4 linked regions of the Saccharomyces cerevisiae S288C genome follow. The protein of the gene in region 3 interacts with the protein of the main gene of each other region in a biochemical or structural test. Each region holds a gene or a part of one and is shown on either strand. Other genes may lie near its edges.

What was found.
Region 1: the proteins of TIF4631 (region 3) and DED1 form a complex in vitro, tested with the Saccharomyces cerevisiae proteins (4 studies listed by BioGRID).
Region 2: the proteins of TIF4631 (region 3) and TIF1 form a complex in vitro, tested with the Saccharomyces cerevisiae proteins (6 studies listed by BioGRID, with this or other methods).
Region 4: the proteins of TIF4631 (region 3) and TIF5 form a complex in vitro, tested with the Saccharomyces cerevisiae proteins (2 studies listed by BioGRID).

What each region holds. Positions count from the first base shown.
Region 1 is NC_001147.6:721,373-729,600, reverse strand, and holds DED1 (DEAD-box ATP-dependent RNA helicase DED1), read right to left. Parts: upstream 6,691-8,228; coding exon 4,876-6,690; downstream 1-4,875. Other genes in the region: mRNA-binding ribosome synthesis protein NOC2, read right to left, coding at 1-2,089; GEP3 (Gep3p), read left to right, coding at 2,367-4,037; imidazoleglycerol-phosphate dehydratase HIS3, read right to left, coding at 6,993-7,655; MRM1 (Mrm1p), read left to right, coding at 7,893-8,228. UniProt on the Saccharomyces cerevisiae protein: ATP-binding RNA helicase involved in translation initiation. Remodels RNA in response to ADP and ATP concentrations by facilitating disruption, but also formation of RNA duplexes.
Region 2 is NC_001143.9:553,432-561,049, reverse strand, and holds TIF1 (translation initiation factor eIF4A), read right to left. Parts: upstream 6,064-7,618; coding exon 4,876-6,063; downstream 1-4,875. Other genes in the region: rRNA-processing protein LAS1, read left to right, coding at 1-261; transcription factor TFIIE subunit TFA2, read right to left, coding at 398-1,384; mannosyltransferase KTR2, read right to left, coding at 2,096-3,373; UTP30 (Utp30p), read right to left, coding at 3,708-4,532; glycogenin glucosyltransferase GLG1, read right to left, coding at 6,430-7,618.
Region 3 is NC_001139.9:817,853-827,417, reverse strand, and holds TIF4631 (translation initiation factor eIF4G), read right to left. Parts: upstream 3,360-9,565; coding exon 501-3,359; downstream 1-500. Other genes in the region: YGR161C-C (gag protein), read left to right, coding at 4,403-5,725. UniProt on the Saccharomyces cerevisiae protein: Component of the eIF4F complex, which interacts with the mRNA cap structure and serves as an initial point of assembly for the translation apparatus.
Region 4 is NC_001148.4:646,423-654,373, reverse strand, and holds TIF5 (translation initiation factor eIF5), read right to left. Parts: upstream 5,671-7,951; coding exon 4,453-5,670; downstream 1-4,452. Other genes in the region: 60S ribosomal protein eL43 RPL43A, read right to left, coding at 207-208; PUF2 (Puf2p), read left to right, coding at 712-3,939; TIP41 (Tip41p), read right to left, coding at 5,999-7,069; IRC16 (Irc16p), read right to left, coding at 7,179-7,538; ERV2 (flavin-linked sulfhydryl oxidase), read left to right, coding at 7,336-7,926. UniProt on the Saccharomyces cerevisiae protein: Catalyzes the hydrolysis of GTP bound to the 40S ribosomal initiation complex (40S.mRNA.Met-tRNA[F].eIF-2.GTP) with the subsequent joining of a 60S ribosomal subunit resulting in the release of eIF-2 and the guanine nucleotide.

The sequences.
Region 1 (8,228 bases), on a different chromosome or scaffold from region 3:
CCAGACTGTTTAATAATTTTGCTTCTTCTGTTTCTCTTTCTTTGTCTTGTTCTTCCATACTTTCTCTCATTAATCTGGCCTTTTCTTCCTTAACTTCACGTTGTACTGCAACATAAGAACCTAAAGGTGTTTTATTCCAAGCTACATCATTCAAAAATCTTGAAACTTCAGATTTGTTTGTTGGCCCAAATTCAACATCTGATCTCTTTTCTTGGATGAATGTGCTGTTTTGGTTCAATTTTTCTACAACAGTTGATAAACGTTTGTTAAGTTTGACATTAGTTGAAGTCTTGATGTAACGGCGTAAAGAGATAATAACCGGTGTTACAAGTTCAGGAAATGCAATGTTTTTACAGTACAGAGCAAAATAATCGCCCAATAAGTCCACAAACTGTTCTGACAAACCCTCTTGGTATATTTTTGTATTCAGATAAGCTTGCGTACATTTGATGTTGTGCTCAAAATCGAAAGCAGCCAAGTTAGGGCTCTTTTTGGGTGCCTTAGTGAAAGCCGTTGAGGTTAAAATTTCAGAAAGTAAAGGATATATTGGAATAAAAACACCACTATTTTGAGAAAGTCTAATAAGTGATTTAATCAAATAAAATCTTAATGGGAAGAATTGTGGTGTTGGGATTAATCTGATTACACCCAAAGTAACCTGAACCAATGGGTAAATTAATTGTCGTAAAGGAGATTCACTGCCATTTTCCTTTTCTGGTTGACAAGCAAACGATAGTACACGAGACCAGAAATCCAAGGAGTGACAGAATTGCCAGTTGTATACAATCTTGTAAGCTTCTGCGGAATTAATTTTACTGGATTTTTTAGTTGTCGCGTTCATTGTATTTCTTAAATGAATTGCCAATTGCCTAATATACTCAAATCCAACTTGGTAACCTAGAACTTCATCGATACCGAACAATTCAGCTGCCGAATTTTTTTGAAAATTAATCAGTGGCATAGAACGCATATTCGTTTTACGACAACTTTTGATAAAAGTGGAGTACGTTGTTTTTAAGGTTGTTTCTAGCATAGACTTCTTGAACTCTTTGGTGGTATTGATCAAAAAGGCAAAAGAAGCAATCTGGGTTTCTAATTCTCTCGTTGTAGACCATACTCCAACAATTGATTTAATAAGCTCCTTTAAGATCCTTCTGTATGATAAAAGATAAGGCATCAATTCGTTGACAGAATGAAGAACTAATGCTGCTGTTTCCGTATTAGTAATATCATTCAATAAAATCAACAAAGAGCCAGCATGCGACTTGACAATGGACGAGACCCTGGAGACGTTACCTCCATTTGGTAAGGTCCTTGCGCCTTTTACAATCTTGTATGGGGCCATCTTTTGAATCGCTTGTGGTACATCTTTCAAGACCATGAACATCAATTCGTGGAATGCTTTCTCATCAGTGATAGCATATTTATAGTCTTCGATGTTTTCTTCCTTGTTCAAATTTACAGCAACCTTGAAAGCACTGATTATGTTCCTTAGTAATTTTAAGCTTGGAGAATCATGAAGTTGTTTTTTCCATTTCCTAACCAATTTCAAAGAAAGCTCAATTTTTTCCTTTTCCAGCTCCATTTGTTCAGATTTTTCTTCAATATTACTGTTTCTTTCAGCATCTTCACCTTCATCTTGACTATCAATTCCATCCAATGGATTGGTACCTGCGAAGTCCAATAAATCTTTATCATTTTCCTCCAAATACTTATAAAATTCGGGATCCTTTTCGGCCAACTTTGCCATGCTTTGTCCCATGTCTTCCTCCTCTTCGGAAGAGGAGGAATCTTCATCAGATTGCTCTTTCGTAGTTTTTTTCTTCAATTTTTTATTCTCTTTTGGAATTTCGATGCCCTTTTCAAAAAAAGTTTCGACAGACATGTCCTTAAAAACCTCTTCCTTTGCAGATTTTTTCAACTGCTGTTGTTCCCTAGTACCAGCAGCATCGGCCTTTTCCTGATCAGTTTTGTTGCCACGACGGCCTTGGATTCTCTTCTTTTGGATCTTTTCCTTTCTTCTTTGGTCTAGAGTATGCTTCAAATGCTTCGATTGAAACTTCTTGGTCGATTTAGAAACTTTACCCATCTCCACTTATTCTATTGTTGACCTTCTCTATCTCTCTTACAATTCAAAAATTAGTATAAATGAATTTACCCATGTACAAGTATTCTGTTTCTCTATTTTCTCTGTAAATATCATGCTCATCTCATCGGAAGAAAAAATTCAGAAAATTTTTCAAAACTCGTCGAAGATGATAACTACTATTTGATGTTATGGGTCAAGATACATTTAACAGAGCAATATTAACGAAGGACCTTCCTAGTAACACGTCTAATTACTTTGAACAATTCAATATGCGGGAATGTTGAATCTGTGTCATGCTCTTCGAGGCGTACGTCAGTTTTCCTGTTCTGTGATTGTGAAAGTGAAATGTGCGTCATGTTCCATAAAACTACAGGATCAGGATCCTAGTAAACCAGGATATTATACGAAGCCAAAAAGTCTACCCGACTCAAAACTAAATCCTGACCTCCAAGATCTGAAGTATTTGCTATTCAGTCAAGACATACAGCTCTCGAAACAGGCAACTCAAAATGATCCTGACCTCAAAACCAAAAGAGATTTACTATTGAGAGTGATTTGCAAAAGGTGCAGTAATGCCCTTCATCATAACAATTATAACCCGGAAGAGTTTCCCGAAAGCACATTAAATGATATTCTGAACTACGTCCCCAGAGGCTCAAATGTTATGCATATTGTCCCCTTTGTAGAATTTCCCTTACATTTAGACCCCAATGTTTTGAAACGAAATGATTTAGATACTACATTAGTGTTAACGAAAAGCGATCAAGTTTTTAAAGATAAAAATGCTGTCAGCAAAAAGGTTCCTATATTCATGAAGCAATTTTTAAAGAACACTTTAAGAATTGACTCAAATAAAACATTCGCCATATCTGCGCTGAAAAACTGGAACATATCCATGTTTTACAACTACTTTAAAAACTACACATATTTGCTAGGCAACCCTAATGTTGGTAAATCAACTTTGATCAATACTCTACTACAGAAATATCTTGGATATAAGGTTAAAATTGATTCTACTGGGAAAATTAACTCCCCCTCTGAAGAAGTGATGCAAGAAGCTTTTACGAACCCGAAGAATTTTTTCAAGATTCAAGCTGCTGGTGTATCACATATTCCCAATTTAACTAGATCCGTACAAGCCTACCAAGTTGGAGGTAAAATACTTTTTGATCTTCCAGGCTATTCAACTTCCACCTCCAGATTACGCCTAGAAGAACTAATCGACGAGCGTTGGCTTCAAAGGCTGCGAAAAACCGATTTATTCAATCGGAAGCATATAAAACAGAAGACTTATGAGTCTATGAAGGGCACATCACAGGGAGGCTGTTATACCGTGGGAGGGATTTTCTACCTGGTACCTCCGAAAGGATCCATAAATCAGATTGTGAAATACATACCAGGACCATCAAAAACATTCAAGAACATTGAAAAAGGTATTGATGTATTCAACTCGTGCAATTCATCATCTGGCACACATCCGTTATCACGGTATTGTGGAATTAAAAGCGTTATATGCGAAAAAAGCCAGTACAAAAGGTACGCAATACCTCCATTTATTGGAAGTATAGAGATCGTTCTGAAAGATATAGGATATATTTTATTAAGGACAACTGGGAGGTATGAGTTCAAAGGACTACATGAGATATGGATACCTAGGGGTATCCAAGTAGGTATAAGGGAACCGCTAGAAAACTTGATTGAGTCTGGCTACCAGCGTTACATTGAAACAAATGGTAAAGAGTCAAGCTGTCCCAGAGATAGACCGATCATCAGTTCCCTGTATGAGATGGCCCCGGATGAAGCTGATACTTTGAACGCAGTGAAGAAGTCGTATTTAGAAAAAACCGAGAAAGATTTATCTGCTAGAAGATTTGTCGACGATGATCCTTATGATTTGGTTCAACACCTAGAAAAAAAAAAGAATCCCTATTGGTACTACCAATGGTAAGACTCGCTGTTCACTTGGTTGCACCAATAAGTAGTAACGCACATGTAAATATGAATGTAAGTAAACTAAAAAGAAAGTTGGGAACAAAGTATATTCAAAAACGAATATACAGGAAATAAGCAATAGAAAGTATTATGAATTATACTGTTGATGTTTATTCTATCTACAAAACACAAATAAAGTAGAGTATAAGGCGAGTCAATAAAAAGGCCTCAACTCAAAAAAGGGAGAGAAAATGTAGGAAGGAAATGAATACTATTATACAATGGTACTGTGAACAGTAAGAATATTTTCGTAAGGTAAAAAGAAACAATAACAAACAAAAAAGGTCGAAAAAACTGTTCAAAATAAAGTCTCTATTCGAAGAAAACTGAAAAAGTGGAAGTGGAAATAAAAGATAATGTAAATAATCAGTCCAATGAATAGATCGGTTAAAGCAATTAAGCAAAAATAGTGGAAAATATAGTAAAAGTAGATAATAATTCCTTCATCTTTTCACTAAAAGATGAAAATCTTAATTGCTTATAATCATAGTGAAATCTTTAGTTTTTTAGTTAATATTAGCAAAGGCATTTTATAGTACAATTGTAAAATAATATTAGAACCATGAAAGAAAAAAAAAACAAAAAAACGATGGATAAAAAATAAGAGTGGAAAAAAAGTAACAGATTAGTGGCTCCCAGTGAGAAAATAAAAAAAATATGGGGCCAATCAACGGCTAGAGAGAAACAAACAACACAGTATTTTCAGGACTTGGATAAAAAAAGTGATTGGAGAAAGAAAATATAAGACATGCTAGAGCAGAAAACGAAGAATCCTCACCCTAGTTTGTCTGAAATCACCACCAAGAAGAGTTGTTTGAACCACCGCTGTTACCCCAGCCAGAAGACTTGGAATCGCTACCCCAGCCACTACCGCCTCTGAAAGAGTTATCTCTGCTTCTTGAAGAGCCCCAGCCGCCTGCGCTAGCGCCTCCGGCCTTACGGTAATCTCTGTTGTTGTTGCGACCGAAACCGCCTCTACGGCTGTTGCTTCTGCTACCTGGAGCACTCATCATAGCGTCCTTCAAGAATGATGGGACTTCTTGGTTAGCTTCAGTCAAAATTTCATGCAAACCTTTAACAATGTTACTGTTTTCACTGTTGAAAAAGGCAGTGGCAAGACCGGTGTTACCGGCACGACCAGTTCTACCAATTCTATGGACGTAATCATCGACATCACTTGGTAAATCGTAGTTGATAACGTGGGTGACGTTTGGAATATCTAGACCTCTAGCTGCGACAGCTGTGGCAACCAATAAAGTAGCGGCACCAGATCTGAAGGCGGCCAAGGCACGTTCTCTCTCAGATTGGGTACGGTCACCATGAATGGCGGTAGCTCTAAAGTTTTGCATGATCAGGAAATCGGTCAATTGATCTGCCATTCTCTTAGTTTCGACAAAGATCAAAGTCAAACCGTCAGTGGATGCAGACAATAGATCCAATAAGGCTGACTTCTTATCTTGATTTTCAACGTATAAGACTTTTTGAGTAATGTTTTCTGAAGTAGAACCGACTCTACCAACAGACAAAAAGATGTAGTCACTTAAGAAATCACGGGCCAAATGTTGGATATCAGCGGGAAAAGTAGCTGAGAACATCAGAGTTTGTCTTTCACCAACAGGAGTCATATCACAGTCTTCGACAATATGTCTAATTTGAGGTTCGAAACCCATATCCAACATTCTATCAGCTTCATCTAGAACCAAATACTTGACGTTGGCCAAAGAAATTTTACCACGTTCCAACAAGTCATTCAAACGACCTGGAGTAGCGACTAAAAGATCGCAACCACGTTCAATTTCTCTTAGTTGGTTACCAATTGGAGAACCACCGTAGACGACGCAGGCCTTGACCCAGGATCTATAAGTAAATTTCTTGGCTTCATCGAAAATTTGGGTGGCCAACTCTCTAGTTGGAGCCATAATGACAGCAGTTGGGTAGGCCTTTCTTTGGTAAAAGGAGCCTTGAGACTCTGGTTGAGGAGATGGTCCAGTCTTAAATGATTCGGACAACACTGGGAATAAAAACCCACCAGTCTTACCAGAACCGGTCTGCGCACAGGCCATCAAATCTCTGCCGTTGGCAACGATAGGGACGGAGTATTTTTGCACAGGTGTTGGCTTGGTGAAACGGGCCAATTTGATGTTTTCCAATAACAATCCGTCCAATGGAGGTGAGGTAAATTCTGTGATTGGTTCAGGAACATCCTTACCAGAGGCGTCCACTGGAATATCATCGTAGTTATCGAAGTTAATACCAGAAGATTGGAAATTTGGATCCTCGGGGACACCAAATATGGCGATCTCGGCCTTTTCGTTTCTTGGAGCTGGGACATGTTTGCCATCGATCCATCTACCACCAGAACGGCCGTTAGATCTGCTGCCACCGTTGTTTCCACCGAAGAAACCACCGTTGCCGTAACCACCACGACGGTTGTTGCTAAAGAAGCTGCCACCGCCACGGCCACCGTTGTAGCCGCCGTTGTTGTTATTGTAGTTGCTACTGTTATTTCTGGCACTTCTTGGTTTTCCTCTTAAGTGAGGAGGAACATAACCATTCTCGTTGTTGTCGTTGATGCTTAAATTTTGCACTTGTTCGCTCAGTTCAGCCATAATATGAAATGCTTTTCTTGTTGTTCTTACGGAATACCACTTGCCACCTATCACCACAACTAACTTTTTCCCGTTCCTCCATCTCTTTTATATTTTTTTTCTCGAGTTCAAGAGAAAAAAAAAGAAAAAGCAAAAAGAAAAAAGGAAAGCGCGCCTCGTTCAGAATGACACGTATAGAATGATGCATTACCTTGTCATCTTCAGTATCATACTGTTCGTATACATACTTACTGACATTCATAGGTATACATATATACACATGTATATATATCGTATGCTGCAGCTTTAAATAATCGGTGTCACTACATAAGAACACCTTTGGTGGAGGGAACATCGTTGGTACCATTGGGCGAGGTGGCTTCTCTTATGGCAACCGCAAGAGCCTTGAACGCACTCTCACTACGGTGATGATCATTCTTGCCTCGCAGACAATCAACGTGGAGGGTAATTCTGCTAGCCTCTGCAAAGCTTTCAAGAAAATGCGGGATCATCTCGCAAGAGAGATCTCCTACTTTCTCCCTTTGCAAACCAAGTTCGACAACTGCGTACGGCCTGTTCGAAAGATCTACCACCGCTCTGGAAAGTGCCTCATCCAAAGGCGCAAATCCTGATCCAAACCTTTTTACTCCACGCACGGCCCCTAGGGCCTCTTTAAAAGCTTGACCGAGAGCAATCCCGCAGTCTTCAGTGGTGTGATGGTCGTCTATGTGTAAGTCACCAATGCACTCAACGATTAGCGACCAGCCGGAATGCTTGGCCAGAGCATGTATCATATGGTCCAGAAACCCTATACCTGTGTGGACGTTAATCACTTGCGATTGTGTGGCCTGTTCTGCTACTGCTTCTGCCTCTTTTTCTGGGAAGATCGAGTGCTCTATCGCTAGGGGACCACCCTTTAAAGAGATCGCAATCTGAATCTTGGTTTCATTTGTAATACGCTTTACTAGGGCTTTCTGCTCTGTCATCTTTGCCTTCGTTTATCTTGCCTGCTCATTTTTTAGTATATTCTTCGAAGAAATCACATTACTTTATATAATGTATAATTCATTATGTGATAATGCCAATCGCTAAGAAAAAAAAAGAGTCATCCGCTAGGTGGAAAAAAAAAAATGAAAATCATTACCGAGGCATAAAAAAATATAGAGTGTACTAGAGGAGGCCAAGAGTAATAGAAAAAGAAAATTGCGGGAAAGGACTGTGTTATGACTTCCCTGACTAATGCCGTGTTCAAACGATACCTGGCAGTGACTCCTAGCGCTCACCAAGCTCTTAAAACGAGAATTAAGAAAAAGTCGTCATCTTTCGATAAGTTTTTCCCACAGCAAAGCAATAGTAGAAAAAAACAATGGGAAACGTTGAATGAAGACAAAGCGTCGTGGTTTAAAAGGAAATACGCTCACGTACATGCTAGGGAACAGGACCGTGCAGCGGATCCATATGGCAAGAAAAAGGCCCACGTCGAGAAGCTAAAGGAGATCAAGAATCAGGCGAAATTAAACCAAAAGAGCCATAAATCCAAGTTCCAGAATAAGGACATT
Region 2 (7,618 bases), on a different chromosome or scaffold from region 3:
TTAAGGTTTAATGAAGGTGAAATAAAGCTGTATGATTTTATTCCTGCGGAAAAAGATTCCGTTCCATTGAAGAAGGAAGTGAGTCCGGCATTAAAGGCTGATACCAATGATATACTAGGCGATTTGGCGTCTTTGAAACAGAGAATGAGCAGTTTCGGAACAGTAGGTAAAAAAAATAAACAAGAGGAGAACAGAGCTACACCAGTAAAAAATTGGTCAAGGGTTCAAAATTGGAAACCCAAACCCTTTGGTGTCCTGTAACCTGTTTCCAATGCTCGTTATAAATACGTTGTAGACTATAAAGCTGAGTTGTATGCTGCACCCTAACGTGCATGTATATATAATCACAGTCTCTTTAACCTAATATGCAAACGAAAATGATTTAATCAAAACAACCTCATACTCTATGGGAATAATCTTTCAAGATACCGGTCATATGAGTGTTAGTAATCTTACCCTTTCTTTGTCTCTTCTTTTTAACTTCAACTCTCTTTGTTTGTCTTTTGATAGTAGCAGGATCGACACTAGCAGGCTTTAGACCTAAATCTTGCAGCTTTCTTGGCAATTCTGCAAATTGCGGTAATTGCACATTTTCCCACATTTTAACAAACTCCTCGTCAATACATTTCAAGTTACCACCGCTGTTATACCAAACGTATCTTGGAGTTTTATCCTTTTTAGTTCTTAACACCAAAATTTTGCTGTCTTCCTCCAGTTGGTTAATCGTTTCATCGCATTGTGGCCAACCGTCTTTCAAGTCTTTGCAGGAAATACCTTTGAATGTTACTTGTGAACGTAACAACTTCAGCAGTTCCGAAGGGGAATGGACATCGTAGGTGGAAAGGTATTTGAAAGTCCCCTTCTTGGGGTCAAACTCTATTCTATCTAATTTTTTTAAAAGCTCAATAACCTTGTCATCTTTTTTCATTGACAAGTAGTCCAATAACTCATTCACCAAAACGGGCTTACCTTTCTTTTGAATGTATTCAGTCGCCCAAAGCAACTTTGAAGAATCGTGACTCTTGGAAATATCTGTTTGATTTGCTTGTAAAGCGGCTGCAGCAATAGAGCCAGGCCTTACTTTTTTTGAAGGAGAGCTACCAAAATCTTCGTCGTCATCGTCGTCATCTAATGAAATAGCATTAGAGCTATTGCTCCCAGCTTCTTTCTTGATATCCACTAACACAGGATTTTTCGCAGAGTTCAAAGTGTTTTCTTGCGCACGTTCGGAGGCCGTCCTCTTCCTAGTGTTTCCATCTATAGTAATCACTGTGTCATTGGTCTTCTTCTGTCCAACTTTAGCGGGTGCGATCACCGGGGCAGACTTCACTTTGCTTTTGAAAGCGTTCAAATTAGCCAGTAGAGGGTCCCTGTTTTTACTCATCGCAAAAGACTACTCTCTTTTCCAAATCGAACGAACTACTTGGTATAAAACAGTTCTGTGTAACAGCTTTCTCGTGTTCTACAGAGCACACGGTTATGTAACTAGTTCACTTCTTATTAGCTCTTTTGCCCTGATTCGTAAGTGAACTTCTTACCCGAAGTAAGCTCGCGCTTTTCTTTTTCTTCTCGCATATAACATTTTGACTATAAAAGCCGTGAACTATAGCATTTGCTACCAGAAAGAATTTTTCTTGCCCTGGACCTTTGATGCTTTAAAAAACATTTCTCTTAAAAGAAAGCATAACAATTTGTGATGCTTTAGGGAGCCTATTGTTTGATGGTTTATAGGAGCCGGATTTGTCTTTTTGACTAATTTTCAACCTATTCTTACTTCCAAAACTGTTGCAATGGCTCTCGTTTTTTTTAAATTTTTCTCTTTTCTCTTCTTTGGCATAGTTTATTTTTAATAAATTATTTCAGGGTGAGATAGAGAAAGGATAATGAGTATCGTAGATAAATCTTCGGTTCCGAATAGTGTAACTGTTGGTGCTGAGGTAATCCATCTTTAAAACCATCGCCGTTAGAGGTTGCTTCTGATATTTTCGGTTAAGCGACCCATGAAATGGTGATGACCTGAGGTATGGAACATCTTTCTTGATGGTTACTTTGTTATATATACGTATTTATAGTATGCGGATACACGCTTTTCTCGCTATGAATCGTGTTTGAGGAAGTATTTACCGCTGCCGTCCTTCCACCATCTTCTCAGGCAGCTGATGACATTGAGATCAATATTGTCTGGGTGATTGCTATCACAAAGACATCTTTGTTGAAGTCTCAGGTAGTATGCAGATGGACACGTGCCAAAAGGCATATGCTTATAGCCTAATTCATCAAAATGGATGATTTCGTCTTTTTTCAAAAGAAGTGAGGCAGCAATCGAATGAACTGGTGCATCTCCCCACCTTTCATAGTAAAAACCGCCCTTTGAATCCAAGTACTCGAAAAATCTAATGTATTTCTCACTTCTGAAAAAGTTCAAATCGCCAATTTCAAAATTTGTCCAAAAATGACATAAATTATAGCCGCTGTTACTATCGATGACACCAAAAGATTTACCGATGAAGTCGAAATTTGATACGAACCCGAAAGCGTTGCTTTCCATGTCAATATCTGCTGACTCTGTTTCTTCGAGATATTCTTCTACAGCTTCCCATAGGCTCGGAATTGTATCTTCGTATTCATACATAGTTATCACAAAGCCATATTTCTTATTGTTCTGCCTCATCACCTTGAATGGATCGTAGGGAAAATCGCAAAAATACTCTACATCTGGCTCAACTCTGAAATAAAAATCGTACGGATCTAATATCTTTTGTCTAAAGAAAAATCCAGAATTAAATCGGCACATATTTCTATATGACTTTGACCCACCGTACAAGATATTTTTTTCCTCCATTAATTGTAAAGCCTCTTCAAATAGAGTTTCGTTGATCCAAGATGGCCTGTTCCAGTCCTCCGCAGGGATTAAAGCGTATTGCGTTCTACCACTAGCCATGGCTGTGGTGGCTTCGATGAACTCTTGATCAAATGGGACATCATTAAGAAATGTCCAGTCATACTGGTAGTTTTTATTGAAACGGTCTTCTAGTGATCTCATGGAACGGAGTGCCCCCGAAAGTTCCCAATTACGCACAAGCATTAACAATGTAGCATTTTCTCTTTGATTTTTTATTCCCTTGGTCTTGTTTAGTGGTTCATCATTATAAGTGTTGCTAGATAGCTTCAGCGTCTGATTCATATGTCGCCTCCTTGTAAAATCATATCTCGATGAAACTTCTCGAGATCTTCTAAAAAAATACGAATCTAGGCTCAGCTGTCTCTGATATGGTACAAGTGCAAGCCAACATGTTTGAGCTATCAAGCAAAATAGAAGACTAACAAAAAGTAGTTTTTTAACCTGTGTAAGAAATACCTTGCAGATTTGCATGAAGCTCCTACGCTTTTAAATAAACAACTATTGTATAGAAAAAACGCAAAAAAAGCGTTGCATGTATAGGTGTCACATACCTGAAGAGATATAAAGAATCAAGAATATCATCAGACAGGCAAATGGTGGCTTATTATGTTTATTCTATTTTTATAGGGTGTCTGTTCTTTTTTTTTTCTTTTTTTTTTTCGCTTACTAAATTTCTATAATCTTGCAAATTCTTGAAAGGAATTAAAGTTTAAAACACTTTATTAATGCTATAATTAGTTAGACAAAATCACGCTTTTTCATTGGGAGTGTTTAAATACCGTATTTAAAAGATGATGCTTTAATTTTACAATTTAATATCACTCAGATCTTCATTTTTCTGATTTTCTCTAGCCTCTGAAAACTGATATATAGGCAAACTAGTACTGTTACTGGTCTTGACAAATATAGATATTATTCCTCCTTTAATGACGCCGCCTTGCGGTCTCTTACTTTTATCAGTGAGAAAGTTTATTGTATCTTGGATGTTTTGCAAAATTTCTGGTATGGAGTGTTTTTGAATATAACCGACCCTGACGCTTAAGCAGTTGTCATTATTGGGAATGTATGAGGTATTCTTACATATACTTCTCAATTGTGCTCTCACGTAAATGGGGTCACATTTTTCGACCATTTGTTGACGCTTCAATTTTACTTCTTTCGACATGCGGATCATGTATGGCAATTTTTTACTACCGTGATAAAATCTGCTACCAAGAACCTCCGGAAGTAAGTGGTGAACTCTGTAATCGGCAACGACCAAGTCAAAATCTTTATAAAGTTGGGTCAGTTTACTCCCTTTGAATCTACGTCTCAAGTTCTTGACACTTATAATTTCCTTGAATAATTCCGACGTATGCTCGTCTTTCGTCAAAGTTTCTCTATACAAGGCAGAGGGATCCTTGGTAATGAGTAATATGTTTAGGTCCCTTGGTTTAAATAGCTTGTACTTTGTTAATGGAATAATACGGGGGATGTTGTCCCTGTTTATGCCCATTTTTTTGCCCGTGTTGATGATTATGTGTATGTCCTTATCATTTTTTAAAGATGGGTTCTCTTCACATTGTAAAATTAGAGCCTTTAGTGCTTTCTCTGCCAGCCCACTTTTTATAATATCATTTGACTCAACCATCCCAAACCTCGAGATATAGCGTTTGATGTACACTTTTTCTTTTCAGCTCCAATCTCTATTAGTAGGGCATCGATTTTTTTTTTTTTCCTTTTATATATATTATTTTTTATAAATTTGAAAAATTTCAGATAGATACGTTCGGATATATACAAAAAGACAAAGCAAACAATTAGTATAGGGTATTTCAACCTTCGTGCCGAGAGTCTTTTGGACTTTGAAGAATAATAGGAATGTAAAAAGAAAAACAAATTAAATACAAAAAGCATATATAACTTTTTAGAAATATATGTTACGTTATCAAGATAGCCTCACAAGATACTTTTTTAAGAAGTTTTTGTCTCCCTTAGTTCAACAAAGTAGCGATGTCGGATGGCAATTCTTCAATTTGAGTGGAGTAGAACTTTTCTAGTTCTCTCATAGCGCCAACGTCTTCGTTAGTAACAAAGTTGATGGCAACACCCTTTCTACCGAAACGACCACCTCTACCGATTCTGTGAATATAGTTTTCTTTGTTAGCTGGTAAGTCGTAGTTAATAACCAAAGAAACTTGTTGGACATCGATACCTCTAGCCAACAAATCAGTGGAGATCAAAATTCTGGAAGAACCACTTCTGAATTCCTTCATGATGGTGTCTCTTTCTTGTTGTGGTAAATCAGAGTAGATGGCAGAAACGGTAAATTTGTCGTTTCTTAACTTAGTGGTCAATTCTTCGACCTTTCTTCTGGTGTTACAGAAGATGACAGCTTGAGTAACGGAGATAGAGTCGTATAAATCGGTCAAACACTCGTATTTGTATTCTTCTTCTTCAACATTAACGTAGAATTGTTTGATACCTTCCAAAGTCAATTCATCCTTCTTAACCAAAATTCTAACTGGGTTTCTCATAAATTTGGTGGTAACTTCCAAGACGTCATTTGGCATGGTGGCGGACAATAGAACAACTTGAGTGGTTGGTGGAAGTAAGGTGAAAATTTGGTAGATTTGTTCCTTGAAACCAGAAGACAACATTTCATCAGCTTCATCTAAGATGAACATCTTGATCTTGTCAGTTCTGAATCTACGTCTTTGGATGTTGTCAAAAACACGACCTGGAGTACCAACGACGATTTGAGCATCTCTCAAACCTTCAGCGTCTTCAACAAAGGAAGTACCACCGATACAAGCGTGGACCTTGATGTCCATGTGGAAAGCCAAAGCCATGACAACCTTTTGGATTTGCAAAGCCAATTCTCTAGTTGGAGCCAACATCAAAGCTTGAGGAGCCTTGACAGAGGTGTCAATTCTTTGCAAAGCAGCAATGGAAAAGGTACCGGTCTTACCAGTACCAGATTGAGCTTGAGCCAAGACATCGTGACCTTCAATAATAGGCATGATGGCACGTTGTTGAATGGCAGATGGTTCTTCGAAACCGTAACCGAAAACACCTCTTAACAAGTTTTCGTCCAATTCCATATCATCGAACTTGTAGACAACCTTGTCATAGTTGGTTTGAATTTGGGATTCTTCAATATCAGTAATACCTTCAGACATCTTGTATATAATTAGAAGGAGGCCGTTTAACGAATTTGTTATAAAATAAGAAAAGAAAAGACTAGAGACCAAATAAAAAATCTACAAATGTCAGGGCTGCGTATATTCATACCTTTGTTCTGTGATGTTAGCTCAAGTTCTTAGCACATCATTCAATAGACGAGGTGAGAATGCAAAAATTTTTCAGTCACTATAAACGTTGTGAGGTGAGAAAAGATAAACAGCAAGCATCGGATGTTGTTGCTGATAAACCTTTAAAGTAAATTTCGAGTTTGAATGTATATAGAATAGTTATGCATTTTTGTATAGTCGAAAAGGTCTTTACATAGATATGTCTTTTAATTTTCCTAATATGTGCGTGGAAGTTTACTCTACTGCATACTCAAAAATATCATCAGGGAAACACCTCTCTACTTTGGATAGATAATCAGAGTCCTCCCAGTCAAATTTGAAGTTGGGCATTTCTTGTTGCGGTTGGTTGGTTTCCTCTGCTGTAAGTTTCATATCCTCCTGTTTATCTGCAACTGCACTCGTCTTCGTTTCTCCTTCGGTAGCATCTCTTGCATCGTCATCAAAAAATTCTTCTTCGTTATCGATTGCATTTGACTCGTACACGTCCGGAAGAAATTCTTCATAACCTTCCTTGTCTTTTTCTAAGTACTGTATATTGTCATCAACAGAGGTATGTGGTTCTACGTCGTCTGGTAAGTCATTAGTAGAAACACTTGGTTTTTGTATATTGTCAGTTGACCTTTTCTGTTCTGGATTTGAAGGGCTAGATTCGACACTGATATTATTTTCTTTAGAATTGCTAAAATTTTTGCCATCTGGTTGATTACTTACATTGTTATTGGAAGAAGCGGCCGTGCTTATATCATCGAGGTGGCTTTCTTCTCCAGAATTTGAAGCGTTATCTGTCGTACTATCCTCCTCTTCTGCATTTTGGTGCTCATCGCTATCAGCTTGAGTACTCACAACGCTATAAGAGCTGTTTAGTTCCTGAGTACTATTTGGAGGACTTTCTTGGTCGCGGTTTGAACTGCTATTGATTATATTGTTATCATTCTCTTTCGAATATTCTCTGCTTTCATTTACTGGCTGATTAGTCAAGTGATCTTTGTTAATAAAGGTTGTTAACCACTTGGTAAAATCCAATGGGACAGGGTTAGGAGCAGGGCTATGATCCGAGTTAGGAACAGGCTCGGCGTTCTGGTTGTCCACGTTTTCTTCCACTGTACTAATTGTGTCGATCTCTTGATTCGTAGTGGGTTCGTTCGATGGAGGGGCATCCACTGGGGTTATCGTTTCAGGAGTCTCAGTTTTATCGGAATCACTAATCTTTGGCTTCGAAACTTCGTTATTTAATTGATGTTCTTCCTTAAATTCCTCGTATACCTCATTCCATTGATCATGATACTCGTTTTTAATGAAATTCTTTTGGGACCACAATGACCATGGCTTGTGTTTCCCAATGAAATGAATCAACTTAATGCTAGGTTTAAAGTAATTCATAGCAGGTGAAGATTGGTAGCCTAAATTAGGAATAGTTACGTTA
Region 3 (9,565 bases):
CGGTCCTTTCCTTTCGTGGCCTCTGTAAAAAAAAGGACAAATGGTGAAGCAGTAGCATGATTAAATCGAAATATGAAGTTAAAGCCGTCAGCTAATAAATGATATAAATATACAAAACTATACATATGCTGAGTGGTCTATTATATAAAACATATCGTAAACGAAGACTGGCGAAGCTATAAATAAAAATACAGAAAGGCATTGACATATAGAACAAGATAGGAAAAAAAAGCACAGTAAGAGGATTACCCATTAAAATGCATCAAACTTGTTTATAGCTTTTAGTGAAAAGAAATGAGCCCATTAATCGAGAAAATATAACAATGGTAAATTAGGGACACTTTTTTTTTCTTCTCCATGCATATATTTTCAATTAATAGCGCAGGATTAAACGTAAGATTAAATTTGTGTTGTACTATTAATTTATTATTTTATTAGACTTTCTACCAACATCCTTGTATCCAAGTGACATTTTCGATACTTAACATGATCTATTCATGTTACTCTTCGTCATCACTTTCTCCCATTAATGCACTGAACATATTTGTTGCGGTAGAAGTTGGTGCAGCTGGTTCTTCCTTTGGAGGAGGAGCCCTTTGGCTATTTCTTTGAGAATATGTTCTGGTTGTGATAAAGCTATCTTTTGATGCAGGAGGAGCGTCCCTTCTGAAAGAGTGTCTATTACTGGAGTTGTTCGTACGTCTTGAATTAGATCTTGAATTATTCTTCAATTGACGTTGTCTCTCCTCTTCCTCATGAATCTGTTGAATGGTCTTAGGACCGTTGTCCTTCTTATCACTGTTCCAGTTCTTGTCGTGCCTTAATTCTTTAATGTCGATCAACTTGAACTTGATTCTACTAGAAATCTTAGCAGTTTGAATAATATTGTCTAAAATACCGAACAAACTATCGAGCAATTGCGAACCCTCCAATGTTGCTTGACCCGTTCTGAAACTATCGGTCTCAAATTGTTCACCAACAGTATTTAACAATTCAACAACGGACTCTAGAGTTTCTTCAGATGGAGAATCCGTCAAATCCTTCATTAGTCTACGGAAACATTCGAACATCATCTTTCCAGTCAACAGATTCAGACGGTATAGGAAACCGATGAAACGAACCAAACCTAAACCTCTTCTCTTAGCAGAAGCAGCTGCATAGTACTCTTCTGACATCATCTCAGGTTCTAATGGAGTACCATCTTCGTTTGTGGGTAATTTATCGGTCCAACCCTTGTCAAATTCGGCATGACATCTAGCAACCAAGTAATGCAAAACCAATTTTGGACCTGTCTTACCTTCATTAGTTTCATCTGTTATATCTGGGTTTAATTCTTTAACTACTTTACCACATAATTGCGCGTACATAGAAGACCAATGGGGTTCGTCACAGGCCTTTAAGAAAATCTGTTCTATCACAGCCTTTAACGTTTCACCATTTGTTTCCCATACTGATATGTTTGCAATAGCCAAAATTTCAGATGAAATAGCATCGAACATTTCCAAAGTAAGTTTATTCAGTAGTGACTTCATCTTTCTTTCAACTTCATCCTTGTCCAATAGTTCGGTCTTTCCGTCAGGGGCTAGCTTCTTTTCAGTCTTTTTAGACTTGAATTTTGGCACCCACCTATTAGCACTTGGAACAAGTGGAGCAACTTCTTCCTTTGGTTTATCGTCCTCTCTTTTCTCTTCATTTCTGTAGGAGCCTCTCTCGCGGTCTCTTCTTGATGTATAAGATCTATTAGATCTCCTGTCGTCATTCATTCTCTTTGATCTTCTCTTTGATGAAGTTCTTGAATTAGCTCTGTCATCCATATTTCTCACTGAGGTATTTCTAAAGTCATGGCCACGACTAGAATTATTGCCGAATCTGCCAGAATCTCTAGATCTATTTCCTCTGCCCATTCCTGGTGGAATGACAATTTTAGAAGCAGTGCTTTGGACCCATTCGGCGTCCGCTTTGACGTTTAGTTTGTCCTTAAATTGAAGCAAGAAAGTTGGGCCATATGTATATTTGACGTGTTCTTTCTTGTATTTGATATCAGGACCTTCAATACCTTCTGGATAGTTAAAAGAAAAGACATCTTCAATTGGTGTAGCATCTTTCAATACATTCAATATGTGAGAAACGGTGTTTGTACCATCATCAGTTTCATCAGTTGTAGTTTCGATTTCAGCTTCAAGTCCAATCTTTGTTCCAGCATCACCTGCTTCAGCCTCAACTTCAGCTTCAGCTTCATCAGATTTAGTAGGGATAGCCGGAGTTGTTGCAGATTCATCAATGTTTGACTGTTCGGTTTCGGCGACCTCAGTTTCTTCTTTAACCTGTTCACTGGGAGGCACAGGAGCAGACTCGATGGCGCTCTTAGTCTCTTCCTGTACTGGCACTTCCTTGTTTTCCTTCCCCTCCGTTTTTTCTTCTCGTTCTTTTTGTTGTTTCTTCAACTTCAAACGTTCAGCAAAGGTTAACACCTTTGGAGTGGATTCTTCCTTTATTTGGCCCTTTTCTCCTTGTTCACCTTCTTCAGCTGGAGTTTCTTGCTTAACTTCTGGCTCAGCAGATTTTTCTTCAGCAGGCTTGGTTTTTTCGGTTACCTCAGGTTTGTCCGATCCCTTCTCTTCCACATTTTCTGGGGTAGTCTTCATTGGAATATTATTGTTGCCACTAGAACCTTCAAGTTGCTCCTTTCTCTTCTTTTCTAAAGCAGCTTTACGAAGTTTAACTTGCTCGATGAAATTTCTTCTTGTCTTTTCAGCTTCAGATATATTTTCTTCAGAACTGGCCTTAGAGTCATTAGTGGAAGGGGTAGGAGTTGGAGTAGAAGTAGAAGTAGAATCAGAAGTTTCTTTTAACTTTGACTCTGGTTGCGGAGACACAGTAGATCTTTCCTGAGACTGTAGCTTGGCTTTATGCTGTTCTTTCAAATCTAAGTGTTCACCAGACTTGGTAGTGATTTCTATCTTAGTTGGAACAGGTGACTTCTCTTCGACAGGAATTGGATTAGCAGGGGCACTACCAGCGGCCGCCATTTGCTGGGGCTGGTAGTAAACGGGGTAGTTATTATAGTAACCAGTCCATGGCACGTTTGAGCTGTTGGCTCCCATGTGTCCACCTCTGAAACTACCGCCACCATTATAGTTGCCACGGTTGTTATATCTGTTTGGTCCAAATTTACCACCTCTTTGCTGATGAGGTCTGTTGCTGTTGTAAGGCTTCTTTTGGGTATAGTTGCTACCATTGTTGTAGTTGGTGTAGCCACGTTGTTGCTGAGATTCCTGCTGGTCATCGCCTGTCTGTTTCAGAGCAGCAGATTCCTGCTTTGAAGCAGATTGTGTCGGGTGAGCAGTTTCGTCTGTCATTATTGTAATAGGTAATTACAGTTGTCCTCTTACCTTGCTTATTTATGAGCAAGAAGGAGTAAAGTAAGAAGCTTTAAGAAATTGAAGGGAAGAGGAAGAATCATAATTAAGTAAATTATCACAATATCAAGATTGGTAAAATTTCAAGCAACATATTGAAATTCCATCTACCATCCATCCGTTGCACACAGAGAACGCGGCATCGAAAATTTTTCTTGAAAAAAAAACTTTTGTCAGTGAAACAGTACGAGAAAAAAAAAAAATAAAAAAAAAGCTATAATTGAAAAAGGACGCACAAAAATACGGTGAAAAAGAAAAAAAAAATCGTTTCTCACGTCGTTATCGAGTCGCGATGAGGATAGCGCCCATCATATGATCATCCCATTACGATGGAAGTCTGCCATCATGATGTCCAAGAGGGTCCTTAAAGCTATTAGTAAGTAAAAAAAAACTGTTGTTCCAGAGATATTGAAAAAAGCCTTATTAATGTAATCTTCAAAAAATGATTTCGCCCAGGATCGAACTGGGGACGTTCTGCGTGTTAAGCAGATGCCATAACCGACTAGACCACGAAACCACTCTTATTGGAAGATTGATCCAATTAAAGGGGAATAGGTCACATGAAACGACGACAACTATGCTGGTTATTACCTAGAGGGATAATTGCAAGCTAGATCTTGAAACGAACAGAGGAAAAAAGCTAAAGTAGTAACAACAACCAATATATGTATATATGAAGAGAATGTGGATTTTGTTGGAATAAAAATCCACTATCGTCTATCAACTAATAGTTATATTATCAATATATTATCATATACGGTGTTAAGATGATGACATAAGTTATGAGAAGCTGTCATCGAAGTTAGAGGAAGCTGAAGTGCAAGGATTGATAATGTAATAGGATAATGAAACATATAAAACGGAATGAGGAATAATCGTAATATTAGTATGTAGAAATATAGATTCCATTTTGAGGATTCCTATATCCTCGAGGAGAACTTCTAGTATATTCTGTATACCTAATATTATAGCCTTTATCAACAATGGAATCCCAACAATTATCTAATTACCCACATATATCTCATGGTAGCGCCTGTGCTTCGGTTACTTCTAAGGAAGTCCACACAAATCAAGATCCGTTAGACGTTTCAGCTTCCAAAATTCAAGAATATGATAAGGCTTCCACTAAGGCTAACTCTCAACAGACAACAACACCTGCTTCATCAGCTGTTCCAGAGAACCCCCATCATGCCTCTCCTCAACCTGCTTCAGTACCACCTCCACAGAATGGGCCGTACCCACAGCAGTGCATGATGACCCAAAACCAAGCCAATCCATCTGGTTGGTCATTTTACGGACACCCATCTATGATTCCGTATACACCTTATCAAATGTCGCCTATGTACTTTCCACCTGGGCCACAATCACAGTTTCCGCAGTATCCATCATCAGTTGGAACGCCTCTGAGCACTCCATCACCTGAGTCAGGTAATACATTTACTGATTCATCCTCAGCGGACTCTGATATGACATCCACTAAAAAATATGTCAGACCACCACCAATGTTAACCTCACCTAATGACTTTCCAAATTGGGTTAAAACATACATCAAATTTTTACAAAACTCGAATCTCGGTGGTATTATTCCGACAGTAAACGGAAAACCCGTACGTCAGATCACTGATGATGAACTCACCTTCTTGTATAACACTTTTCAAATATTTGCTCCCTCTCAATTCCTACCTACCTGGGTCAAAGACATCCTATCCGTTGATTATACGGATATCATGAAAATTCTTTCCAAAAGTATTGAAAAAATGCAATCTGATACCCAAGAGGCAAACGACATTGTGACCCTGGCAAATTTGCAATATAATGGCAGTACACCTGCAGATGCATTTGAAACAAAAGTCACAAACATTATCGACAGACTGAACAATAATGGCATTCATATCAATAACAAGGTCGCATGCCAATTAATTATGAGAGGTCTATCTGGCGAATATAAATTTTTACGCTACACACGTCATCGACATCTAAATATGACAGTCGCTGAACTGTTCTTAGATATCCATGCTATTTATGAAGAACAACAGGGATCGAGAAACAGCAAACCTAATTACAGGAGAAATCCGAGTGATGAGAAGAATGATTCTCGCAGCTATACGAATACAACCAAACCCAAAGTTATAGCTCGGAATCCTCAAAAAACAAATAATTCGAAATCGAAAACAGCCAGGGCTCACAATGTATCCACATCTAATAACTCTCCCAGCACGGACAACGATTCCATCAGTAAATCAACTACTGAACCGATTCAATTGAACAATAAGCACGACCTTCATCTTAGGCCAGAAACTTACTGAATCTACAGTAAATCATACTAATCATTCTGATGATGAACTCCCTGGACACCTCCTTCTCGATTCAGGAGCATCACGAACCCTTATAAGATCTGCTCATCACATACACTCAGCATCATCTAATCCTGACATAAACGTAGTTGATGCTCAAAAAAGAAATATACCAATTAACGCTATTGGTGACCTACAATTTCACTTCCAGGACAACACCAAAACATCAATAAAGGTATTGCACACTCCTAACATAGCCTATGACTTACTCAGTTTGAATGAATTGGCTGCAGTAGATATCACAGCATGCTTTACCAAAAACGTCTTAGAACGGTCTGACGGCACTGTACTTGCACCTATCGTGAAATATGGAGACTTTTACTGGGTATCTAAAAAGTACTTGCTTCCATCAAATATCTCCGTACCCACCATCAATAATGTCCATACAAGTGAAAGTACACGCAAATATCCTTATCCTTTCATTCATCGAATGCTTGCGCATGCCAATGCACAGACAATTCGATACTCACTTAAAAATAACACCATCACGTATTTTAACGAATCAGATGTCGACTGGTCTAGTGCTATTGACTATCAATGTCCTGATTGTTTAATCGGCAAAAGCACCAAACACAGACATATCAAAGGTTCACGACTAAAATACCAAAATTCATACGAACCCTTTCAATACCTACATACTGACATATTTGGTCCAGTTCACAACCTACCAAAAAGTGCACCATCCTATTTCATCTCATTTACTGATGAGACAACAAAATTCCGTTGGGTTTATCCATTACACGACCGTCGCGAGGACTCTATCCTCGATGTTTTTACTACGATACTAGCTTTTATTAAAAACCAGTTTCAGGCCAGTGTCTTAGTTATACAAATGGACCGTGGTTCTGAGTATACTAACAGAACTCTCCATAAATTCCTTGAAAAAAATGGTATAACTCCATGCTATACAACCACAGCGGATTCCCGAGCACATGGAGTCGCTGAACGGCTGAACCGTACCTTATTAGATGACTGCCGTACTCAACTGCAATGTAGTGGTTTACCGAACCATTTATGGTTCTCTGCAATCGAATTTTCTACTATTGTGAGAAATTCACTAGCTTCACCTAAAAGCAAAAAATCTGCAAGACAACATGCTGGCTTGGCAGGACTTGATATCAGTACTTTGTTACCTTTCGGTCAACCTGTTATCGTCAATGATCACAACCCTAACTCCAAAATACATCCTCGTGGCATCCCAGGCTACGCTCTACATCCGTCTCGAAACTCTTATGGATATATCATCTATCTTCCATCCTTAAAGAAGACAGTAGATACAACTAACTATGTTATTCTTCAGGGCAAGGAATCCAGATTAGATCAATTCAATTACGACGCACTCACTTTCGATGAAGACTTAAACCGTTTAACTGCTTCATATCATTCGTTCATTGCGTCAAATGAGATCCAAGAATCCAATGATCTTAACATAGAATCTGACCATGACTTCCAATCCGACATTGAACTACATCCTGAGCAACCGAGAAATGTCCTTTCAAAAGCTGTGAGTCCAACCGATTCCACACCTCCGTCAACTCATACTGAAGATTCGAAACGTGTTTCTAAAACCAATATTCGCGCACCCAGAGAAGTTGACCCCAACATATCTGAATCTAATATTCTTCCATCAAAGAAGAGATCTAGCACCCCCCAAATTTCCAATATCGAGAGTACCGGTTCGGGTGGTATGCATAAATTAAATGTTCCTTTACTTGCTCCCATGTCCCAATCTAACACACATGAGTCGTCGTACGCCAGTAAATCTAAAGATTTCAGACACTCAGACTCGTACAGTGACAATGAGACTAATCATACAAACGTACCAATATCCAGTACGGGTGGTACCAATAATAAAACTGTTCCGCAGACAAGCGAACAGGAGACTGAGAAAAGGATTATACACCGTTCACCTTCGATCGATACTTCCTCATCAGAAAGTAATTCACTACACCACGTCGTTCCTATCAAAACGTCAGATACCTGTCCTAAGGAGAATACAGAGGAATCTATAATTGCTGATCTTCCACTTCCCGATCTGCCTCCAGAACCTCCTACCGAATTATCAGACTCCTTTAAAGAACTTCCACCGATCAATTCTCGTCAAACTAATTCCAGTTTGGGTGGTATTGGTGACTCTAATGCCTATACTACTATCAACAGTAAGAAAAGATCATTAGAAGATAATGAAACTGAAATTAAGGTATCACGAGACACATGGAATACTAAGAATATGCGTAGTTTAGAACCTCCGAGATCGAAGAAACGAATTCACCTGATTGCAGCTGTAAAAGCAGTAAAATCAATCAAACCAATACGGACAACCTTAAGATACGATGAGGCAATCACCTATAATAAAGATATTAAAGAAAAGGAAAAATATATCGAAGCATACCACAAAGAAGTCAACCAACTATTGAAAATGAATACTTGGGACACTGACAAATATTATGACAGAAAAGAAATAGACCCTAAAAGAGTAATAAATTCAATGTTTATCTTCAACAGGAAACGTGACGGTACTCATAAAGCTAGATTTGTTGCAAGAGGTGATATTCAGCATCCTGACACTTACGACTCAGGCATGCAATCCAATACCGTACATCACTATGCATTAATGACATCCCTGTCACTTGCATTAGACAATAACTACTATATTACACAATTAGACATATCTTCGGCATATTTGTATGCAGACATCAAAGAAGAATTATACATAAGACCTCCACCACATTTAGGAATGAATGATAAGTTGATACGTTTGAAGAAATCACTTTATGGATTGAAACAAAGTGGAGCGAACTGGTACGAAACTATCAAATCATACCTGATAAAACAGTGTGGTATGGAAGAAGTTCGTGGATGGTCATGCGTATTTAAGAATAGTCAAGTAACAATTTGCTTATTCGTTGATGATATGATATTGTTCAGCAAGGACTTAAATTCGAATAAAAGAATTATAGCAAAACTCAAGATGCAATACGATACCAAGATTATAAATCTAGGTGAAAGCGATGATGAAATTCAATACGACATCCTTGGCTTAGAAATCAAATATCAAAGAGGTAAATACATGAAATTAGGTATGGAAAACTCATTAACTGAGAAAATACCCAAATTAAACGTACCTTTGAATCCAAACGGAAGAAAACTTGGTGCCCCAGGCCAACCAGGTCTCTATATAAACCAGCAAGAACTAGAGCTAGAAGAAGATGATTACAAAATGAAGGTACATGAAATGCAAAAGCTGATAGGTCTAGCATCATATGTTGGATATAAATTTAGATTTGACCTATTATACTACATCAACACACTTGCACAACATATACTATTTCCGTCCAAGCAAGTGTTAGATATGACATATGAATTGATACAGTTCATATGGAATACGAGAGATAAGCAATTAATATGGCACAAAAGCAAACCTGTTAAGCCAACAAATAAATTAGTTGTTATAAGCGATGCCTCGTATGGTAACCAACCGTATTATAAATCACAAATTGGCAACATATATTTACTTAATGGAAAAGTAATTGGAGGAAAGTCCACCAAGGCTTCATTAACATGTACTTCAACTACGGAAGCAGAAATACACGCAATAAGTGAATCTGTCCCATTATTAAATAATCTAAGTTACCTGATACAAGAACTCGACAAGAAACCAATTACCAAAGGATTACTAACCGACAGTAAATCTACAATCAGTATAATTATATCCAATAATGAAGAGAAATTTAGAAACAGATTTTTTGGTACTAAAGCAATGAGACTGAGAGATGAAGTATCAGGAAATCA
Region 4 (7,951 bases), on a different chromosome or scaffold from region 3:
AATGAAAGTTCCCATAAAGCAGACATTTCACATAATTGTACCCTATCGAATTACAGTGATCCTATTCATTTGAGATATGGTGTTCAACTTCATGTTTTTCCCTTTATATCGTAAAAGTCTGTGGAATTCTGTCTATATCAGTCTATTTCATCACGAAACACTACTCCTCCAAGCAAACGGTAAATCGTGTGCGTAATATATCATACATTTTTGTCTCAGTTGTCTTCCTGTTGTTTGCTACTACTGTCTGAACTAAAAAAAGGCGTGCCAAATACTATATATGATACCTAACTCTAACATCCCATATAGCCCAATATCTCACATAACACTGAGTGAGCCGCCTCGTGCGTTGCGTTAGAAAAAGTTAACAAAAGTGAAAAAAAGCAAGGATATTTCTTGCGGAAAAAAAAAAAATTTCTAAATGTACGGATTCTTTGAAAATTTGAACAGTCTTAGTTTCGTTTGAGATCTTTTGGTAACCCGGCTGTTGTTCCAAAAAAGAACTAAGTAAAAAAATTGTGAAATAGTATGAAACCACCCCTCGAAAGAGCAAGCGATGGTGCATATACTGCTGAATGGCACAGAGCAACGGCATAACTTACTTTCCTCTATACTAACCATTCAATTATTTGTTACTAGCTTAAGTGTATATTCATTGTTAGAGAGATATATCTACTATCGCTGTCCCTTGCTACTGTTTTCTGAATTCTGATGGACAACAAAAGACTGTATAACGGTAACCTATCCAACATTCCTGAGGTTATAGATCCTGGAATTACAATTCCAATTTATGAAGAGGATATTAGAAATGATACACGCATGAATACAAATGCTCGTTCTGTGAGAGTCTCTGACAAGAGAGGTCGTTCTAGCTCCACTTCCCCACAGAAAATTGGCTCCTATCGTACTCGTGCGGGCAGGTTTTCAGATACTCTAACCAATCTACTCCCTTCGATTAGCGCTAAGCTACACCATTCAAAGAAGAGTACCCCTGTAGTTGTTGTGCCTCCTACGAGCAGTACTCCAGACAGTTTAAATTCCACGACATACGCTCCCAGAGTGTCTAGCGATTCTTTTACGGTGGCTACTCCGCTGTCATTACAGTCTACTACGACCAGAACAAGAACAAGAAATAACACAGTATCTTCTCAGATCACTGCAAGTTCTTCTTTGACTACTGATGTGGGCAATGCCACGAGTGCAAATATTTGGAGTGCTAATGCAGAAAGTAATACTTCTTCCAGTCCTTTGTTTGATTATCCTCTCGCCACTTCTTATTTTGAGCCATTGACTAGATTCAAGTCCACTGATAATTATACGCTGCCTCAAACAGCTCAACTAAACAGTTTTCTGGAGAAAAATGGGAATCCAAACATATGGTCGAGTGCAGGAAATAGTAACACTGACCACCTTAATACTCCGATAGTTAACAGGCAGCGCTCTCAATCTCAATCTACCACAAACAGGGTTTATACTGACGCGCCCTACTATCAACAGCCTGCACAGAATTACCAGGTTCAAGTGCCTCCTAGAGTTCCAAAAAGTACTTCAATATCCCCTGTTATCCTTGATGACGTCGATCCAGCCTCGATAAATTGGATTACAGCAAACCAAAAAGTACCACTAGTCAATCAAATATCGGCGCTTTTGCCCACTAACACAATATCTATTTCAAACGTGTTTCCATTACAGCCTACTCAACAACATCAACAGAACGCTGTAAATTTGACGAGTACTTCCTTAGCGACTTTATGTTCACAGTATGGTAAAGTGCTTTCTGCGAGGACACTAAGAGGCCTGAATATGGCATTAGTAGAGTTTTCCACAGTTGAAAGTGCAATATGTGCTTTGGAAGCTCTACAAGGTAAGGAACTGTCTAAAGTAGGGGCACCAAGTACGGTATCTTTTGCGCGAGTCTTACCCATGTATGAACAACCTCTTAACGTTAATGGCTTCAACAACACTCCCAAGCAACCGCTGTTGCAAGAACAGTTGAATCACGGGGTGCTCAATTATCAGCTGCAACAATCGCTACAACAGCCGGAGCTACAACAACAACCAACTTCATTTAATCAACCAAATCTTACATATTGTAATCCCACTCAGAATTTGAGCCATCTGCAATTATCTTCAAACGAAAATGAACCTTACCCTTTCCCGTTGCCTCCACCATCATTATCGGATAGTAAAAAGGATATATTACACACTATAAGTTCTTTTAAGTTAGAATATGATCATCTAGAGTTGAATCATCTCTTGCAGAATGCCTTGAAAAATAAAGGAGTGTCTGATACAAATTATTTTGGTCCCCTGCCTGAGCACAACTCCAAAGTTCCAAAGAGAAAGGATACGTTCGATGCACCAAAATTGCGGGAACTGAGAAAGCAGTTTGACTCGAACTCATTATCTACTATTGAAATGGAGCAATTGGCAATCGTCATGCTGGACCAATTACCAGAATTAAGTTCAGACTATTTGGGTAATACCGTTATTCAAAAATTGTTTGAAAACTCGTCAAATATCATCAGGGATATTATGTTGAGGAAGTGTAATAAATATCTCACATCTATGGGTGTTCACAAAAACGGTACTTGGGTTTGTCAGAAGATCATCAAAATGGCAAACACGCCAAGGCAGATAAATCTTGTAACTTCAGGTGTAAGCGATTACTGTACTCCACTCTTCAACGACCAGTTTGGAAATTATGTTATTCAAGGTATTTTAAAGTTTGGTTTTCCCTGGAATAGTTTCATTTTTGAAAGCGTTTTATCTCATTTTTGGACAATAGTTCAAAACAGGTATGGATCTCGTGCTGTAAGGGCTTGTCTAGAAGCAGATTCCATTATTACCCAATGCCAATTGCTGACTATCACTTCACTGATAATTGTGCTTTCTCCTTATCTAGCTACGGATACGAATGGCACTTTACTGATCACTTGGCTATTGGATACTTGCACTTTACCTAACAAGAACTTGATTTTATGTGATAAACTGGTAAATAAAAATCTGGTTAAACTATGTTGTCATAAATTAGGCTCTCTTACTGTCTTAAAGATTCTCAATTTAAGAGGTGGTGAAGAAGAGGCACTGTCGAAGAATAAAATTATCCATGCAATATTTGATGGTCCAATTTCTAGTGATTCTATCTTGTTCCAGATACTAGATGAGGGTAATTATGGTCCAACATTTATTTATAAGGTTTTAACCTCGAGAATTCTTGACAATAGCGTTAGAGATGAAGCTATAACAAAGATTCGTCAACTGATTTTAAATTCCAATATCAATTTACAAAGTCGCCAGTTACTGGAGGAAGTTGGGCTATCATCAGCAGGAATATCACCCAAACAATCCTCCAAGAATCATCGTAAACAGCATCCTCAGGGGTTTCATTCTCCTGGTCGCGCCAGAGGCGTTTCTGTTTCCAGTGTGAGAAGTTCAAATTCAAGGCATAATAGCGTTATACAAATGAACAATGCAGGTCCAACGCCAGCATTGAACTTTAACCCAGCCCCGATGAGTGAAATAAATTCCTACTTCAACAATCAACAAGTGGTGTACTCCGGAAATCAAAATCAAAATCAGAACGGTAATTCTAACGGATTAGATGAATTGAATTCACAATTTGATTCATTTAGAATTGCTAATGGAACAAATTTATCCCTACCTATAGTTAACTTACCAAATGTAAGTAATAATAATAACAATTATAATAATTCTGGTTATTCGAGTCAAATGAATCCTCTAAGCCGCTCAGTGAGTCATAATAACAATAATAATACCAATAACTACAACAATAATGATAATGATAACAATAATAATAACAATAACAATAATAATAATAATAATAATAATAATAATAATAATAATAATAGTAATAATAGTAATAATAATAATAATAATGATACAAGTTTGTACCGCTACAGGTCATACGGATATTAGCTAATGATTTTAATCATTCTGTTCTATTAAACTTTTTTTTTTTTCAATTTTGCCCTTGGTGCAATGTTTTTACGTTTACCCCAGAAGAATACCAAAAAGTTTAGACGCTCTTAGGTAAACATGACGATTAATGACCCTTTTTTTTTCCTCTATTGTACAAGTTTTCAACAGGCTTTAGGCTCTACTTCTATTAATGATTATAATATAATGCATTACCTTTCAGAAAAATCTTCGGTAATCTCATGTTATGTATACGCATGCGATCGTGGAGCCAAATTACACCGACATTTTATTTTTTTTTTTTTACTTAATAATTAATCAATCAATCAGTGGCTTTAAAAGTCTCATCTTTGTTTTTTGCCAGTACCAAGTATGTCGCACTTGGAAGAAATATTATATTTATAAATATTTACATATCTATACATCAACGAGCTCAAAAACAACAGAACATAATCCTTATCTTACGCCATGTCATATAATAATTTACACATAAGTCTTTTGCCCCCTCCTAAGCTATTCGTCGTCTTCTTCATCATCGTCACTTTCAGCGGTTTCTAACCACGTAATGAATGGCTTAGCAGCCCTACGAACCTTTTTGGATACCTCCTTAGGTACAAATTTCTTGGATGATTTGGTACCAAATCTCATGATTTCTTCTTCCGAGATGATATCATTATTGTATAGTTGTACCAAAATTTTTGGTAATAGTGGGATTAGATCCTTATGTTCTAAACCTAAAAATCTTTCAATACCACCCATAAAGTTCTTTTCGTATTCTGGAGTGACTAAAATTTTAGTGAAAAATGCATTATGTTCAGCGATTTCGTTTACGATATCCTCATCGAATAGACATTGCGCCAAGACACAACCAATTTTTGGATCATTCAAGACGTCTAGTTCTGCAGCCTTCTTATAAAGCTCCACATCTGATGGTAAGTTCTCCTTATCTTCACCAGCCTGCTCCAAAATCCATTCACCATATTCATCCAGTTGAGTGAGCTCAGAGTTCACTTCTAGTTCCTTGGCACGAGCTCTAATGGCTTCTTCAGACATATCAACCGCCCATTCGTCATCTTTGACCTCGATATCTTCTAAGGTAGAGGCAGCCGCCTTGATTTGACGAGATAATTCATCTTCGTCTTCGTCATGATGTTGTGGAGTGGATGAGCCGGTGCCATCTGAAGGTGCATTCTGAGACTTACCTTGAGCAATATCACTAATGGACAACCCACCACCACGAACATTGGCCGAAGCGGTAGCTGCTTTCTTCTTCTTCTTGGAACCAGAAACGGAGTCAGGTGGGTTTTTCAAAATGAAGGATGATAGTTTATGTCTCAAGTCCATTGGAGTTCTCTTACCACAGGCTTTACAGTCTCGAACCAAATCATTATCTTTGGTAATGATGATCTCCGTTTCTGGATTTTTACAGCTTCCACAGAGAACAAACTTGTTAATAAAGCCATCCAATACGTCTTGCAATTTGGCAGGTTCGTGAACACCATTAACTAAATAACGATCTTTGTCAACAGAGATGGAAGTTTGAGCACCTAATTCGAAACCAAAATACTTGACAATATATGGAGCAGGTCTATTTAGCGCGTGAGAGATGTCAGCGACGTTCAAAACGGCAGTCTTGATACCGTTACCTCTACCTTCCACCTTGGCTTGGATGGGAGGCATTTTGTAACGGTAAAATGGATCATGATTATCTCTACAAATATTAATAGACATCTTGTACCAGTGAACGTGTGTTTATGCAAATAATAGGAGTTTTTTTTTTTGGAAAAAAAAGAAGAACACACGAGATACTCTTTAATGTAGTGGTGTCTTTGTAAGTCAGCAAAGTGGGAAGGAGGGGTAGGCGTTTGCCACTAATTAAATGCTAAAAGTTCATCTATTTTCTTTTTTTTTTTTCGTTCATACTTCGCGATGAAAATTTTTCACTATTTACAGAACGGGTAAGAGCATGATTTTAAGATCATTTCTTGTATGATGTATCCGGAGCTTATGTATATGTGACGTGTATGTATTTGTACGTATTGTTTTGTATATTTGATTGTTAGAACTGAATTATTTCACATTGTCTTTTGATCATCGGCGTGTTCTGTGCTACCCAATTACTATCTCTCAAGGCAGCTTTTGGGTCGTGAGATTGGGATAGCCGGTGCTTAGCAAGTACATCCTGATATTTACCTTCAAATTCCTTGGATTCTCTGATCACTACGTTTTCGTCAAACTCCACGTAAATCCTGGTGTCGTAGACCCTCACCAGAACATCGTCCACCCTTAAAAAGAACCGGCTCAGCAGCAGTAACCTTTCGTTCATAACTCTTATTTTGACGTTAAGGATTGATATGCCATTGTCTGCCAATTCGTCTTCGAAAAGAATCATGTCGTCATAGAATAGGATTTTATCGTGTACGGCCAGTTTGTCAAGGGGCAGCTTTTGATCGTTATCCAGTCGGAATTTCGACTCAGGTGAGCTCTCTGTGCCCTTATACCGCGTAGTGTAGGTCCAGTCGTACTTGTGTATGATATTTAAGGAATCGTCGTTCACATCGTTAGTGAACCGTTGCGCACCATTAGTTGAATTTTGTCTTTTTTTAGAATTTATCCAGTCGTTTGAGTACGCAACACGAATACCTGAATCCTGGAGTTGAACCTCCTTTAAAGCATCCAGGGCATTGAACTCTATGGACCAATGCTGTTTTGAATTTTCGATCCTGATGTAGTTGTTACCAAAAATCATCTCTGGCAAAGTCAAACCTTTGAGTTTTTCGTTTTCCCAGATGTCTAATTCCTGCGAGTTCAAAATGGGCTTCTTTCTGGAGGAGATGGTCCAGTCGTTGATGGAGATGGAGGGGTTGTCCTCCAAGGGTAACGTGGCCCTTGGAGATGGAATGATAACAGACCCACAGTGGAGACACTGCGGATTGTTTGGGTTATTGCAAATATGTCGAGGTGGTGTTGCTGGGGCTGCAGTTGGTTGCACAGAGGGTGTAGTGATGCCGCTAGTTGGCATGGGCATTCTTCGAGCGCGCACCGTTTGAGCGTGCATTTCTCTAGCAGCATTTATTTGAATAGTGTTTATCCCTGATGATCTGAGCGGTGGAGTGTTTCTTTTGGACATTTTTTCTGGGGAGCTGTTGTGTCTAAAGCTGCCCTTAGGTCATGTATATGGGGTGCGTAAGTATGGTGATGCATTTTGTTATTATATATTACAAGATGGAAGAGAAAGGTTAACCACCGGGTAAACGAAGCGGGAAAAGGAACCAAAAATAAAGGACAAAAGGCTTTATCATTAAACAATAAACGTGGGTGATGAAGACAAGAAGACGGGAAGGCTGGTGATTTGTAAAGAGGAAAGTCTGGACAGATTGTGCAAGGAACGAAGGGATGAAACAGATAGTCAAAAGAAGCCATGCCATCAGAATAGTTGCAGCATTAGGAATCATAGGCCTGTGGATGTTTTTCTCGTCTAATGAACTATCCATCGCTACGCCGGGCCTAATCAAGGCGAAGTCTGGTATAGATGAAGTGCAAGGGGCGGCTGCTGAGAAGAACGACGCTCGGTTGAAAGAGATCGAGAAGCAAACCATTATGCCATTGATGGGCGATGACAAGGTGAAGAAGGAAGTGGGCAGGGCGTCGTGGAAGTACTTCCATACCCTGCTGGCCCGTTTTCCGGACGAGCCTACTCCTGAAGAAAGAGAGAAACTGCACACGTTTATTGGGTTGTATGCAGAACTCTATCCATGCGGGGAATGTTCATATCACTTTGTAAAGTTGATTGAGAAGTATCCCGTACAGACATCTAGCAGGACGGCTGCCGCAATGTGGGGATGCCACATTCACAACAAGGTGAACGAATACCTAAAGAAAGACATATATGACTGTGCTACCATCCTGGAGGACTACGATTGTGGATGTAGTGACAGCGACGGTAAACGCGTGTCTCTCGAGAAGGAGGCTAAACAGCACGGTTGAACAAAGAAAGATTACATTAATCAAT